3 linked regions of the Saccharomyces cerevisiae S288C genome follow. The gene in region 3 interacts genetically with the main gene of each other region. Each region holds a gene or a part of one and is shown on either strand. Other genes may lie near its edges.

Evidence for each region. A genetic interaction does not mean that the proteins touch.
Region 1: mutations in RAD17 (region 3) and RAD5 together harm fitness more than expected from each alone (negative genetic interaction), as found in Saccharomyces cerevisiae (8 studies listed by BioGRID, with this or other methods).
Region 2: mutations in RAD17 (region 3) and TSA1 impair growth when combined (synthetic growth defect), as found in Saccharomyces cerevisiae (5 studies listed by BioGRID, with this or other methods).

The regions. Positions count from the first base shown.
Region 1 is NC_001144.5:203,172-209,528, forward strand, and holds RAD5 (DNA helicase RAD5), read left to right. Parts: upstream 1-1,819; coding exon 1,820-5,329; downstream 5,330-6,357. Other genes in the region: YLR030W (uncharacterized protein), read left to right, coding at 119-910; YLR031W (uncharacterized protein), read left to right, coding at 1,054-1,614; RSC58 (Rsc58p), read left to right, coding at 5,590-6,357. UniProt on the Saccharomyces cerevisiae protein: Probable helicase, member of the UBC2/RAD6 epistasis group. Functions with the DNA repair protein RAD18 in error-free postreplication DNA repair.
Region 2 is NC_001145.3:218,179-221,756, forward strand, and holds TSA1 (thioredoxin peroxidase TSA1), read left to right. Parts: upstream 1-1,959; coding exon 1,960-2,550; downstream 2,551-3,578. Other genes in the region: USA1 (Usa1p), read left to right, coding at 1-1,700; YOX1 (Yox1p), read left to right, coding at 3,228-3,578. UniProt on the Saccharomyces cerevisiae protein: Thiol-specific peroxidase that catalyzes the reduction of hydrogen peroxide and organic hydroperoxides to water and alcohols, respectively.
Region 3 is NC_001147.6:1,024,366-1,028,977, forward strand, and holds RAD17 (Rad17p), read left to right. Parts: upstream 1-2,477; coding exon 2,478-3,683; downstream 3,684-4,612. Other genes in the region: YOR365C (putative flavin adenine dinucleotide transporter), read right to left, coding at 1-1,207; SCP1 (Scp1p), read left to right, coding at 1,642-2,244; 40S ribosomal protein eS12 RPS12, read right to left, coding at 3,829-4,260. UniProt on the Saccharomyces cerevisiae protein: Component of the checkpoint clamp complex involved in the surveillance mechanism that allows the DNA repair pathways to act to restore the integrity of the DNA prior to DNA synthesis or separation of the replicated chromosomes.

The DNA.
Region 1 (6,357 bases), on a different chromosome or scaffold from region 3:
ATAATGAAAAAATAAGTGCTTTGATAAGAATATCTTGAATACAAATTAAGAAGTGTATATTTATAGATATTTTCGTTTCAGCTTGTGTCTGTGTGTGGCCTTATATGTAATATATGAGATGGAAGGTGAACAAATTATGGAGTATGTTCAAGAGACACCGATCATTCCAAAAAGGATTATCCATTATTCGATTCCAAAACAAATGATCACAAAGCCCGCTCCCCATGTCGAGATGACGTTGGTAGCTAATACTTTTCGGGACATGGACTTGCCGCAGCATCCGGTTATCCATGATTGTTGGCAAAATAAAGAGTACTCAACTCAAAGATATTCAGGAAATGTGGCTCAACAGAGATTAAGTTTTGAGGAACATCCAAATGAAGAGTGTCAAAATTCTGTTGGGTTAATCAAGAGAGTGAGTACTTTCTTTAAAAAGAGGCCATTGTCTCGAAAGAATAGCATAAAGTCAATCGGTGACGTAAAATCGGAGGCACGTAACCGGGGAGAAGGCCTCCTGGGTGAAGTTGATAATCTTAACGAGCAGAATGTCCGAGAAAACCTGACTAGTGAACATGAAAAGAGTCCTGAAGGAGATTCCAAAAGGTATGGCCTGTTCTCCTTTGAAGAGACCCCCCCTATACAAGTGTTGGAGCAGGGCAATATCAATTCTGAGCTTTCTTCATTTAAAAACACTTCTTTGGCGGAAAACAAACGCTCTTCTGACAGCTTCGTTTCGTTAAAACCGGGTGAAGATGAACATAGCCCTTTAGAGATTAGTACGTGTGGTAATTTGACTGAAAGAGAGGATTTGCAATCTGGCGAAGAACGGTTTGACTCAGCAGCCCAAAATATAAAGGTAGCTTCGATGAAGGAAAAAAAAAAAATCTTCAAAGGGAACAAAACAGATTAATCACTGAGATTATACGCCTCGAAAACATACTAAATAAGCATAGGAAGGCTGAAGCTAAGAATAATATTAACAAACTTGAAAAGAAGTTGAGTGAAACAGATGGTTTTACATCTGTAAACACATCAGTTCCAGTAACTCCTATTATGCCGGTCTTAAATACGAGAACTTCTTATCCCAATATCGACTTTCATGGTACTAAGGTTTCTGATGTTCTAGATGCCTTTGAATTTGAAAAGCATGATGATCCCTTAAGGGATAAATGGAACACTTTACAGTTTTTGGAAAAGAGCTTTGAATCTAAATTTGAATCTGCATCAGAGTTAATCCAAGGAGGCGAGCTAGCTGCTATTAAAGAAAGAAATTTTCAATTAGCCAAACTAAATAATCTTTGCTTTCGGGTACGAGAGTCCATCAAAAGAAGACAAGACCTGGAGAAAAAGTTAAGAACTTTATCGCAGGACACTGACAACGAATTGCTTTTTCTGATGTTGGAAAATGAGAGAAGAAAGAAAAGTTCAGTGATAATAGAGTTTCTTTCTGAGATAATCAGAGAGAAATCCAAAAGATTAACTGCAGAAGAGCAAGGCTTTGTAAATCAAAATGAAGTAAAACCCCTCATTCTGGACCTTTCTGCACGGATAAATAGATTGAATTCTATTCTAGAAACAAAAAATACTTGTATTAGAAGATTAAGTAATCAATAAGTAGTTAAATTTTCATAAATTATTACTTTCTTACATGTTAGTTGGCGCGTCGTCTGGCTGAAAATTTTACGCGTCATAAACCCTTAACTTTTCCACACATTATTCCTTACTGCTAAGCGCATTGCTCACTTGAAAGTAAATTATCTACAAAGTTACATTATCAAAAGGCCTTAGAAACACACCTAAAGTCTTACAGTATCACAATATGAGTCATATTGAACAGGAAGAAAGGAAGAGGTTTTTTAACGATGACCTTGACACTTCAGAAACATCGTTAAACTTCAAATCTGAGAATAAAGAGTCGTTTTTATTTGCAAATAGTCATAATGATGATGATGATGATGTTGTTGTATCAGTGAGTGATACAACAGAAGGAGAGGGAGACCGATCTATTGTGCCAGTCAGGCGAGAAATAGAAGAAGAAGGCCAGAATCAGTTTATTACAGAGCTTTTAAGGATTATTCCAGAAATGCCAAAGGATCTTGTGATGGAACTTAATGAAAAATTCGGCAGTCAGGAGGAAGGGCTCTCTTTAGCATTATCACATTACTTTGATCACAATAGCGGGACGTCTATCAGCAAAATACCGTCTTCCCCGAATCAACTAAATACACTCTCAGATACCTCAAATTCAACCTTGTCCCCATCTTCATTCCATCCTAAAAGAAGAAGAATATACGGGTTCAGAAACCAAACACGATTAGAAGATAAAGTTACTTGGAAAAGATTTATAGGTGCTTTGCAAGTCACTGGTATGGCTACCAGACCCACCGTCAGGCCCTTGAAGTACGGCTCTCAGATGAAGCTAAAGAGATCAAGTGAAGAGATTTCTGCTACTAAAGTATATGACTCACGTGGTAGAAAGAAAGCGTCCATGGCTAGTTTGGTAAGAATTTTTGATATCCAATATGATAGAGAAATTGGCAGAGTTTCGGAAGACATTGCTCAAATACTATACCCTCTTTTAAGTTCACACGAAATAAGTTTTGAAGTTACATTGATTTTTTGTGATAATAAACGGTTGAGTATAGGTGATAGCTTTATTCTACAATTGGATTGCTTTTTAACATCTCTCATTTTTGAGGAACGTAATGATGGAGAATCCTTGATGAAAAGAAGACGTACAGAGGGAGGAAATAAAAGAGAGAAAGACAATGGAAATTTTGGAAGAACATTGACTGAAACTGATGAAGAGCTAGAAAGCCGCTCGAAAAGACTGGCTCTACTAAAGTTATTTGATAAATTGAGGCTAAAGCCTATTTTGGACGAGCAGAAGGCATTAGAAAAGCATAAAATAGAGCTTAATAGTGACCCCGAAATCATTGATTTAGATAACGACGAGATTTGCTCTAATCAAGTGACTGAAGTCCATAACAATCTCCGAGATACTCAGCACGAAGAAGAAACAATGAACTTGAATCAATTGAAAACATTTTATAAGGCCGCACAATCATCAGAATCTTTAAAAAGTTTGCCTGAAACAGAACCTTCTCGCGATGTCTTCAAGCTAGAACTAAGAAATTATCAAAAGCAAGGTCTTACTTGGATGCTAAGGAGGGAGCAAGAGTTTGCCAAAGCAGCCTCTGATGGTGAGGCTTCAGAAACGGGTGCTAATATGATAAACCCATTATGGAAGCAGTTCAAATGGCCAAATGATATGTCGTGGGCAGCTCAAAATTTGCAGCAGGACCATGTAAACGTTGAAGATGGCATATTCTTTTATGCGAACTTACATTCTGGTGAATTTTCGCTAGCAAAACCTATATTAAAAACTATGATAAAGGGTGGCATATTATCAGATGAAATGGGGTTGGGTAAAACAGTGGCAGCGTATTCTTTAGTTTTATCTTGTCCTCACGATAGTGATGTTGTTGACAAGAAACTGTTTGATATTGAGAACACAGCAGTCTCAGATAATCTTCCAAGCACTTGGCAAGATAATAAGAAACCATATGCTTCAAAAACAACGCTAATCGTGGTCCCAATGTCTTTGTTAACGCAGTGGAGTAACGAGTTTACAAAAGCTAATAATTCCCCCGATATGTATCATGAGGTGTATTATGGTGGGAATGTTTCCAGTTTGAAAACCCTATTAACCAAGACAAAAACCCCTCCAACTGTAGTCCTTACTACATATGGTATTGTTCAAAATGAATGGACTAAACATTCCAAGGGAAGGATGACAGATGAGGACGTCAATATATCTTCAGGCTTATTTTCTGTCAATTTTTATCGCATAATAATCGACGAGGGTCATAACATTAGAAACAGAACGACAGTTACATCTAAAGCAGTCATGGCTTTACAAGGCAAATGTAAATGGGTTTTAACAGGAACACCAATTATTAACAGGCTTGACGATTTATACAGTCTGGTTAAGTTTTTAGAGTTAGATCCCTGGCGGCAAATTAATTACTGGAAGACCTTTGTATCAACGCCTTTTGAGAGTAAAAATTACAAACAAGCATTTGATGTGGTGAATGCAATTCTGGAACCCGTATTGTTAAGAAGGACAAAACAAATGAAAGATAAAGATGGTAAGCCATTAGTAGAGTTGCCACCAAAGGAGGTCGTTATTAAAAGACTTCCCTTCAGTAAATCTCAAGATCTTCTATACAAGTTTCTGTTGGATAAGGCTGAAGTTTCTGTTAAATCGGGTATTGCACGCGGTGATTTATTGAAAAAGTACTCCACTATCCTTGTCCATATTTTAAGATTGAGGCAAGTCTGTTGCCATCCCGGTCTTATTGGGAGTCAAGATGAGAACGATGAGGATTTATCTAAAAATAATAAATTGGTTACGGAACAAACGGTGGAGCTTGACTCTTTAATGCGTGTTGTTTCCGAGAGATTCGATAACTCATTTTCTAAGGAGGAATTAGATGCAATGATACAAAGATTAAAAGTTAAATATCCAGACAATAAATCGTTTCAGTCCTTAGAGTGCTCCATCTGCACAACGGAACCTATGGATTTGGACAAGGCTTTATTTACAGAATGCGGCCACAGTTTTTGTGAGAAATGTTTATTTGAATATATTGAGTTTCAGAACAGTAAGAATTTGGGTTTAAAGTGCCCCAATTGCCGTAACCAAATAGACGCTTGTCGGTTGTTGGCATTGGTACAAACGAATAGCAACTCGAAAAATTTGGAATTCAAACCATATTCACCAGCCTCCAAATCAAGCAAAATCACTGCTTTATTGAAGGAGCTTCAATTGCTACAGGATAGTTCGGCAGGCGAACAAGTTGTCATTTTTTCCCAATTTTCTACATACTTGGATATCCTGGAGAAAGAGCTAACTCATACTTTCTCAAAAGATGTTGCAAAAATTTATAAATTCGATGGACGTCTCTCATTAAAAGAAAGAACTAGTGTATTAGCAGATTTTGCCGTTAAAGACTATAGCAGGCAAAAAATCCTATTACTCTCGCTGAAGGCTGGTGGCGTGGGTTTGAATCTAACGTGTGCTTCCCACGCTTATATGATGGACCCATGGTGGTCGCCCAGTATGGAAGATCAGGCAATCGATAGACTGCATAGAATTGGCCAGACAAACAGCGTCAAAGTTATGAGATTTATCATACAAGATAGCATAGAAGAAAAAATGCTACGCATTCAAGAAAAGAAGAGAACCATCGGTGAGGCCATGGACACAGACGAAGACGAGAGAAGAAAAAGGAGAATTGAAGAAATCCAGATGCTGTTTGAATAGTCATACCACATACTCATATATAAAGACTTTATTTATTATTATTTTCAACCCGAAAGAACTAATTATTCTTCAGCTACTTCATGCAACTTCTATTATCTTCCTTTTCCGTTACCCGTATTTTTAAGTTGCAATTATTAAAAAAACAATTAAGAAAATAAAACAGCGCCATAAGGCATGGACGATAGAAATACGAAGACGAAGAAAATCATCATCAGTCGGGATCAAATAAGAGATAATTTTGAAAATCGAAAGTTTTCATTATGACAGAAAGTGTAGGTGGAAATAAACTAGTAGATTTTTTGGTAAATGTTCAATCCATTTTGAATGCTGCCTCTGTGAAATGTCATGTAGTAGATGAAAGTTTTCCAGCCAAGTTCTTTGAGAAAAATCCGGATAAGATATATGAATCATATTGTAAATTCATTAAAAATAGAAGTAACTCTGAAGGTTTGATACGTAATGAAGATAAATTAGTTTTGACAACTATCAATAAGAGGTTTGAAAATGGAGAGTACGAACCCATACAAGGTGGGTTTTATAAGCTGTATCACGACATTAAGCTGGTTTGTACAATCCTCATTCACTTTTATCCTCAGGGTACAAGAAACTACCAATTAGTCGACAAGTTCTACAAATTTTCTTCAGAGCTTTTATTACGAGAATGTTGTAGGATAGGAATTGCTCTAACGCAAACTAATAATATTAAATCAAGAAGTGGTAAGTTGTTGAGCGGAAACGAGATGGATGAATACGACGATGACGATGCAACAGAACTAGACAAAATAATCTCTTATGATTTTATTAAGATTTCTATGAATTACACAGTGCCGATTTCTCAAACATATCAGATAAGAACGAAGGATATGGACCTTTTTTCTTCGATAATTTCTAAATCTAATCTTGACAAAAGACCTCATGAACTTCCTAATACAAACTTCAAAATAAACAACGTCTTACCTCAAACTGATATAGAAAACGAAGCTCCAAGATTAGGATTTGTAGGCGCTAATACTAGTAATATTCCGGAC
Region 2 (3,578 bases), on a different chromosome or scaffold from region 3:
TAACTCAAATGAATGTTAAGCCCGATACCACGGTAAAACAAGTGAAAGATTTCATATGTTCTGTTTACACTCACTCATTAAACTTGAGGAGAAATGATATCAAGTTGATTTATAAGGGACAGTTGCTTCATGAAAATAATTTTGCAGGCAACTCTTCAAAGATCAGCGAGTACATTAAAGAGCCACATGAAGTGAAGGTCCATGTACAAATCAACCAAGAGTATACAGAATCTGGGCCTGGATTTTGGAATGAAGTGTTCAACAATCCGAATATTTTCCAATTCATGCCTCCAGATACAAGGTCACAGTCACCTGTTAGTTTCGCTCCGACGCAAGGACGATCTCCTGCTGCAATACGTGGCGAAGAACGGGGTATACCATACGTAACCGAATCTGGAAATGACATCGTGCCCACAGATGAGCTTTATAGGAAATGCATTATCAACGGGGATGAAGTAGTATTCATTCCTGTTAGCGAACTAAATCCACAATCGAGCTATTTGTCCGTGATCAAAGGCGATTACGGTGAAATTAAAATCCCCATATCTAGTAATGACTACAGAATTAATGGCGATAATATTTTGCTATCACCATCTGCGATAGAGCAGTTAGAATCTGCTTTGAACTTCAAAATCGAGAGACCACGGGATTCGACACTCTTGCATCCGTCTGGTGAGCATGTTCGAGCTGCAGATAATACCTCTTCGGCAAATGATAATAATACAGTTGAGAATGACGAGTCAGCGTGGAATAGAAGGGTAGTGCGTCCCTTGAGAAACAGCTTCCCGCTGCTATTGGTATTGATAAGAACATTTTACTTAATTGGCTATAATTCATTGGTTCCCTTTTTTATTATTTTGGAGTTTGGAAGCTTCCTTCCCTGGAAATATATCATTTTACTAAGCTTGCTTTTCATTTTTAGGACTGTTTGGAATACCCAAGAGGTGTGGAATTTATGGCGAGACTATCTCCACTTGAATGAAATTGACGAAGTCAAGTTTAGCCAGATCAAGGAGTTCATCAATTCCAATTCATTGACCTTAAATTTCTACAAGAAATGTAAGGACACTCAATCCGCTATTGATTTACTGATGATACCTAATCTACATGAGCAAAGGCTATCGGTCTATTCTAAGTATGATATTGAGTACGACACCAACACCCCTGACGTTGGACAATTGAATTTGCTATTTATCAAGGTGCTATCGGGTGAGATTCCTAAGGACGCGCTAGATGAGTTGTTCAAAGAGTTTTTCGAATTGTATGAAACGACAAGAAACATGAACACACTATATCCTCAAGACTCTTTGAACGAATTGCTGCTGATGATTTGGAAGGAGTCCCAAAAGAAAGACATCAATACGCTACCCAAGTACAGAAGATGGTTCCAAACCTTGTGCTCGCAAATAGCGGAGCATAACGTCCTTGATGTCGTACTCAGATACATAATTCCAGACCCGGTAAACGATAGGGTGATAACCGCTGTGATAAAGAACTTCGTGCTCTTTTGGGTTACACTACTCCCCTATGTGAAGGAGAAGCTGGATGATATTGTTGCACAGAGAGCAAGGGACCGTGAGCAACCGGCTCCATCTGCCCAACAGCAGGAAAACGAAGATGAGGCCCTCATAATCCCTGACGAGGAAGAACCCACCGCCACAGGTGCGCAACCTCATCTCTACATTCCTGATGAAGACTAATTGCAATGCGATGTGGCCACGTTATATAATGCGTTTAAGGTGTACGAAAACCCATGCTGTTCTGGCCCGTCGGGTTTTCTGACAAATTGTCCTTTAGGGATTTTTCGGTTTGGCTCGGGTTGGCAAAGTCGGCTGGCAACAAACCAGGACATATATAAAGGGAGGTAATTCGTCAGATCAATGCCGAACCGTTCTCAACGGGCCTTCCCCTCGTTCAATTGCTCACAACCAACCACAACTACATACACATACATACACAATGGTCGCTCAAGTTCAAAAGCAAGCTCCAACTTTTAAGAAAACTGCCGTCGTCGACGGTGTCTTTGACGAAGTCTCCTTGGACAAATACAAGGGTAAGTACGTTGTCCTAGCCTTTATTCCATTGGCCTTCACTTTCGTCTGTCCAACCGAAATCATTGCTTTCTCAGAAGCTGCTAAGAAATTCGAAGAACAAGGCGCTCAAGTTCTTTTCGCCTCCACTGACTCCGAATACTCCCTTTTGGCATGGACCAATATCCCAAGAAAGGAAGGTGGTTTGGGCCCAATCAACATTCCATTGTTGGCTGACACCAACCACTCTTTGTCCAGAGACTATGGTGTCTTGATCGAAGAAGAAGGTGTCGCCTTGAGAGGTTTGTTCATCATCGACCCAAAGGGTGTCATTAGACACATCACCATTAACGATTTGCCAGTCGGTAGAAACGTTGACGAAGCCTTGAGATTGGTTGAAGCCTTCCAATGGACCGACAAGAACGGTACTGTCTTGCCATGTAACTGGACTCCAGGTGCTGCTACCATCAAGCCAACCGTTGAAGACTCCAAGGAATACTTCGAAGCTGCCAACAAATAAGACGCTTGCAGAGTTGTCTAAATGACTACTTATTTAAAATTCACTCTTTACGTTTATACCTATCTATCTATATATAAAACCCATAAACTTAATGCTATTCACTGACAAAACGATACACTACCGTCTAAGAAGCTATTCACACTAGCTCAGTTCTAATAACAATCATCGTCTGGCTCTAAAACGCGTAAACCATTCACTGCCACACTCACTTTAGCTCTGTTGCTGCCCTTCATACGCTGAGACGCGACGCTTCTTTTCTTTCATATGATTTCCCTTCTAGGCGACACGCCATGCCCCAAACGGGGAACACCGCGAATTCCTTCTGGTGCCCGGTTTCCTCTTTGGGAAGGGCGTCAAAATGGTACAGCTCGCTATAGTCGCCAATTACTGCAGATGCTTAAAGGCTTCTGCAACTGTATGTCCAACCTAGTACGTGGAAACTTCAAACGCGAACAATCTGTATGCTGTTTCGGGCTACTTATTGCTCTATACGGTTTTTAGTGGACACGAACTCTTGTAATTATTATATATATATATGCCTTGGCATTTTAACAAGACTCTATGTTGTGATTTCAGTATGATTTGGGTGAAAACACAGTGGTGACCACAGAACAACGAGGTAACAGTTCCAGACCACTACCTTTCCCCTTCAATCTTTGTGATTTGATCAATTCTTGATGTCACAAGAAACAAAAATGCTACCTTCTCTATCTAGTCTTCTATCGGGAACCGAAATCTCGTCCAGCCCCGTATCACCAAGCTTCACTAATCCAAGAACGAGTTTTCACCTCGATGATCGCGGAACCATAAAATTACCACCGCTAAACACCAGTATCAATCGTCCAAGATCTGTGGAAAGCGCCTTGAGACACACTGTTACATCCTTGCATGAAAATAGCAGCGCTTATGGTGATGACATGCTCAAGCACACGCAATCAGACTCAGCCCTCTCATCTCAGTTGAATAGTTCTCAAGAAACAGTTGATGAATCACACGAAAACCTTCTACTGACTCCCCTAAATAGCAAA
Region 3 (4,612 bases):
GTACTTTCAAAAATGTTTTGAAGATAATAAACGCCAATATTATCATACAAATGAATATGATAAAGAAGGAAAATCCCGTTAAAAAGAAATTTGATATCTCAATTCCAGCTTTGTAAGACACCCTTTTAATACCTCTTAATACTAAAATTTTTGACAGATAGTCATTTGAATTTCTCAAATTTGAAGTGTATAATAAATCATTTTTTTGGGAACTTTCAATACCATTTAAATTACTTGACGCTGATATGATTTTACTGTTCAAGGATCTTTTTTGAACACTGATCGATAAAACTTCTTTATTGCGGTATACAACGGTGGGGGACCCAGATGTTGCGACAACATACCAGTCAAATAACCGCTGCATAAAATTTATCCTTATTATTCCCATTGACCATTGGAAATTTTGAGTCCAAGCGGCGACAATAGGCGGTAAAAATGATACACTAATCATAGCTAAAATAGCCAAATTTTGGAAATATAAAAGTAGCGATATTGAATAAGACGCCAGTCTTGTTGAAGTAACCGTATAACCTTGCAAAGAATAAACCACTGAAAACATAATTCCGGAAATTGTCAATATCACTAGATTCCACGATAAATACTCTGTTTGGACTGTTCTACCATTTGATAACATCACTTGTACACATGCTAGAGGTTTGGTAAATTCTTTATCAATAGTGGAGTATGCTGTCACCACAATATATGCGTCTAAGTCAGGTATATTATATGTTATGCTTGGTATTTGGCTAGCTACCGCGGCCTCAACATAATAACTTCCCATGAGTTCTATATTTCCCGGCTTCAACGGACATAATAAATTATCTTGGATTCCACATAGATCAAAAACTTTGGTATAAACATTGAGACCATATGCAATCAATTCTGCCTTGATGGTTATGTTTTCGCTCATAATTGTTTGTGCTTCAACATTAAAGAATAGAGTATTATTTCTCGGGAAAAAAGCAGCTTCGAAATACGATGCAGAAAACTGTGAGTCTTTAGCACAAGTCAACAGAGCCGAAGTCCTTAGATATTCTTTAGTATATGCATCAAATGGTACTGGGAATAGAGTCGATGCGTTGTTCAGTAGTGTAAAAGAGTTAGAAACCTGGAAAGTAGAGCTGTTAATGGAAATAGCGTGTATTTGTCGGAAGATTGCTAGCAAAACAAAAATCCGAGATAAAGAGAAGACTTTAATGGGAAGCATACTTATTCTCTTTACATCTATAAATCAGAGAGGTTAAATATTATTTAAAATAGCATTACGACTTTGCTTCATCATCCTTCCAAAATATTGACACTGCATCATTTTTTAAATGTGTCAGTAATTCGGGCACAAAAATATAAATGGACCGCCATGAACTAAAGCTGTCGTCGATATGGATCGCTCCATAGCAGCATTATAAAAATTAAAAATGCATCAATACCATGCTACAGTAATAACAAAATACAGCATGGATTACCACTACATATTCATCATGTCATGCATTATAGTTGTAACATATGCTGAACACCCATTCATCACGTGTAATTGGACATCCGTGGAGTTCCAAAAGGAGTATAAACGCAAATAGTAAAGCTAAGATATAAGTAGTGTCTAAGTAAATGACTTCTTTGTAAGCGTACAGCTAAAGTTTACCGATGAGTTACGATAAGAAGGCAGATGTCACATCCTTAGATGAAGATTTGAGACAACTAAGAGAAAGCAAATTTTCACCGGAAGCAATTCAAAATATCAAAATATGGGTATATAAATCTGTCCTAAAAGAGATAGCTCCTCCTGGAGACTTATTGGAATGCTTGAAAGATGGAACAGTCCTATGTAAGCTGGCAAATATTTTATATGAAGCAGACACAGGAGAAGCTAACCATATTAGTTGGAAGAGCTCTAAAATGCCATTTGTTCAAATGGATCAAATTTCCCAATTTTTATCATTTTCGAGAAAATATGGTGTGCCTGAAGATGAACTGTTTCAGACAATTGATCTTTTTGAGAAAAAGGATCCTGCCATTGTTTTCCAAACGTTGAAGTCACTATCTCGTTACGCCAACAAAAAACATACAGATAGATTTCCAGTTCTAGGACCACAACTGTCAACAAAGAAGCCAAGACCCCCGGTTAAGTCTAAACCAAAACATCTACAAGATGGTACTGGATGGAGCACTTTTGAATACGGTTATATGAAAGGTGCATCTCAGGCTACTGAAGGAGTGGTGTTAGGACAACGGAGAGATATAGTTTAGAGAATTATTATTAACACTTTCTCTGGCAGAAATTGATAAATAAACATTTAAGAACCCTATATACGCAACCAAAGTTCCTTTGATATATTTTAGTTTTCCATCAAAGTTTTCCTACATAAACACTAAGGTGGCTAGAGACGCGTAACAAAAGTTAACGTTACCGGTAAAAATGTGATTATACAAATCAATCTCACAGAACGGTGTGGAAACAAAGTAGTTGAAGGATTTCAACTATGCGAATCAACAGTGAGCTAGCGAACAAGTTTTCTGCCTCAACGGTGCACTTAGAACATATCACAACTGCTTTAAGTTGTTTAACACCTTTTGGTTCTAAAGACGATGTGCTTATATTCATTGATGCTGATGGGCTGTCATTTGTCAGGGAGAATAATCATGTGATAAAAATCCAACTACTGTTATCTCGGGAGCTATTTATGTCTTATTCGTATAGAAATGAAACTGAGGATCACATGAAACTTTGTGTAAAAATAAATCATATCTTAGATAGCGTTAGCGTGATGAACAGGAATTCGGATGACATTGTTGAGTGTACTTTATCTTATGATGGACATGGATCACCATTTGTACTAATATTTGAAGACTCGTTCATTTCTGAGAGAGTGGAGTACTCTACCTACTTAATTAAGGATTTTGATACTAATGGACTAGAACTCGATAGAGAAAGGATAAGCTTTGAGGCAATTATTAAGGGCGAAGCCCTTCATTCAGCCTTAAAGGATCTAAAAGAAATCGGATGCAAAGAGTGCTATGTATATGCAAAGACCGAGGCGAATGATGAGAATGTATTTGCCCTGATATCTAAATCTCAGCTAGGATTTTCTAAAATAAAATTACCCAGTAACAGATCCATACTAGAGAAGTTACAAGTATTTGACGGAGATTCCACAACAGTAATAGATGGTTTTGCTGTAATTGGGTTCTTCGATTTCACCTCGTTTGATAAAATCAGAAAGAGTACTAAAATTGCAAGCAAAGTCCTTTTCAGGATGGATGTTCATGGCGTATTGAGTGTAAATATTCTAAGTCAAACAGACGATGTCATTATCACTGATACTACAAGACCTTCAAATAATCGACCAGGTAGTATTCGCCAACTGCAGCTACCCAAGGATTATCCCGGTATAGTAATTGAGGTTTGCATGCTAGAAAAAGAATCCATAGATGAGGCAGCACAGACAGAAATAGAACTCCTGATGGAGACTAATGAACTTGGCAATCGTAATAGTTTTAAAAAATCAACTATAAGAAAAAGATATGGTACAGATAAAGGCAATGAAACTTCAAATGACAACTTGCTGCAATTGAATGGGAAAAAAATTAAACTACCATCTGAAGAAGAAAACAATAAAAACAGGGAAAGTGAGGATGAAGAGAATCACTGCAAGTATCCAACAAAGGATATTCCTATATTTTTTTAAGTCAATATCCAGCATCGCAGAAAACGCAGAACTTCATTCAGCATTTGGTAATTTTATAACATATAACTTACAATTAAATAAAAGTTTAACTATATATTATTATGTGATCTAACTCTAGAAAAAGTACTAATGAACATCACACCGTTTATTGTTGGGAGAAGTGTTCCATGATCATGGACAATTCATCAGTTTCAGCACCCCAGTTCTTGACAACAACAACGGAGGCACCGACAACCTTTCTGGCGTTACCTTCACGGTCGATCTTACCCAAACCAGCCCATTCACCTAATTGCTTAGCATCAGCAACCTTGATCAATGGAACCTTGTTTTCTGGGTCGTTAGCCAAACCTTCAACCAACTTGATAATGTTAGCTTCAGTAACAGAGCTGACCAAAACAACCAATAAAGCTTCACCTCTGGTTAAAGCCTTGGTAGATTCTCTCAAACCTCTAGCTAGACCATCGTGAACCAAAGCGGTTCTCAAAACAACCTTCAAAGCATCTTCGATAGTAACTTCGGCAGTTTGTTCAACAACAGTTTCTTCTTGAACTTCAACGACTTCTTCAACGTCAGACATTTTTCTTCTCAATAATATATAGTCTAGTTTTTGACTTCTTCGACAGTAAGATAATTAAACTGCTCCGTGAAGAGTTTTGAATTGGGAAAAACAATTGAACAAGGAACACTTATAGACCTGTTGTGATAAGAGATGACATAACTTTTATAATATGTCCTGCGGAGAATTCGATGAAATTTTGCAAATTGTAAGTTTGCTTGAAAGTTTGCTTGCGGGTAAGGTATTCTGAAAAAAATAAAATGATTCCACAATGGAAATGTGAAGATGTTGTAAACAAATCAAATGTACGGATGCACAATGGTAAACAGTACTGGATTTCTTTTTATATCACCGTTGAGCCGAAACAAACCCC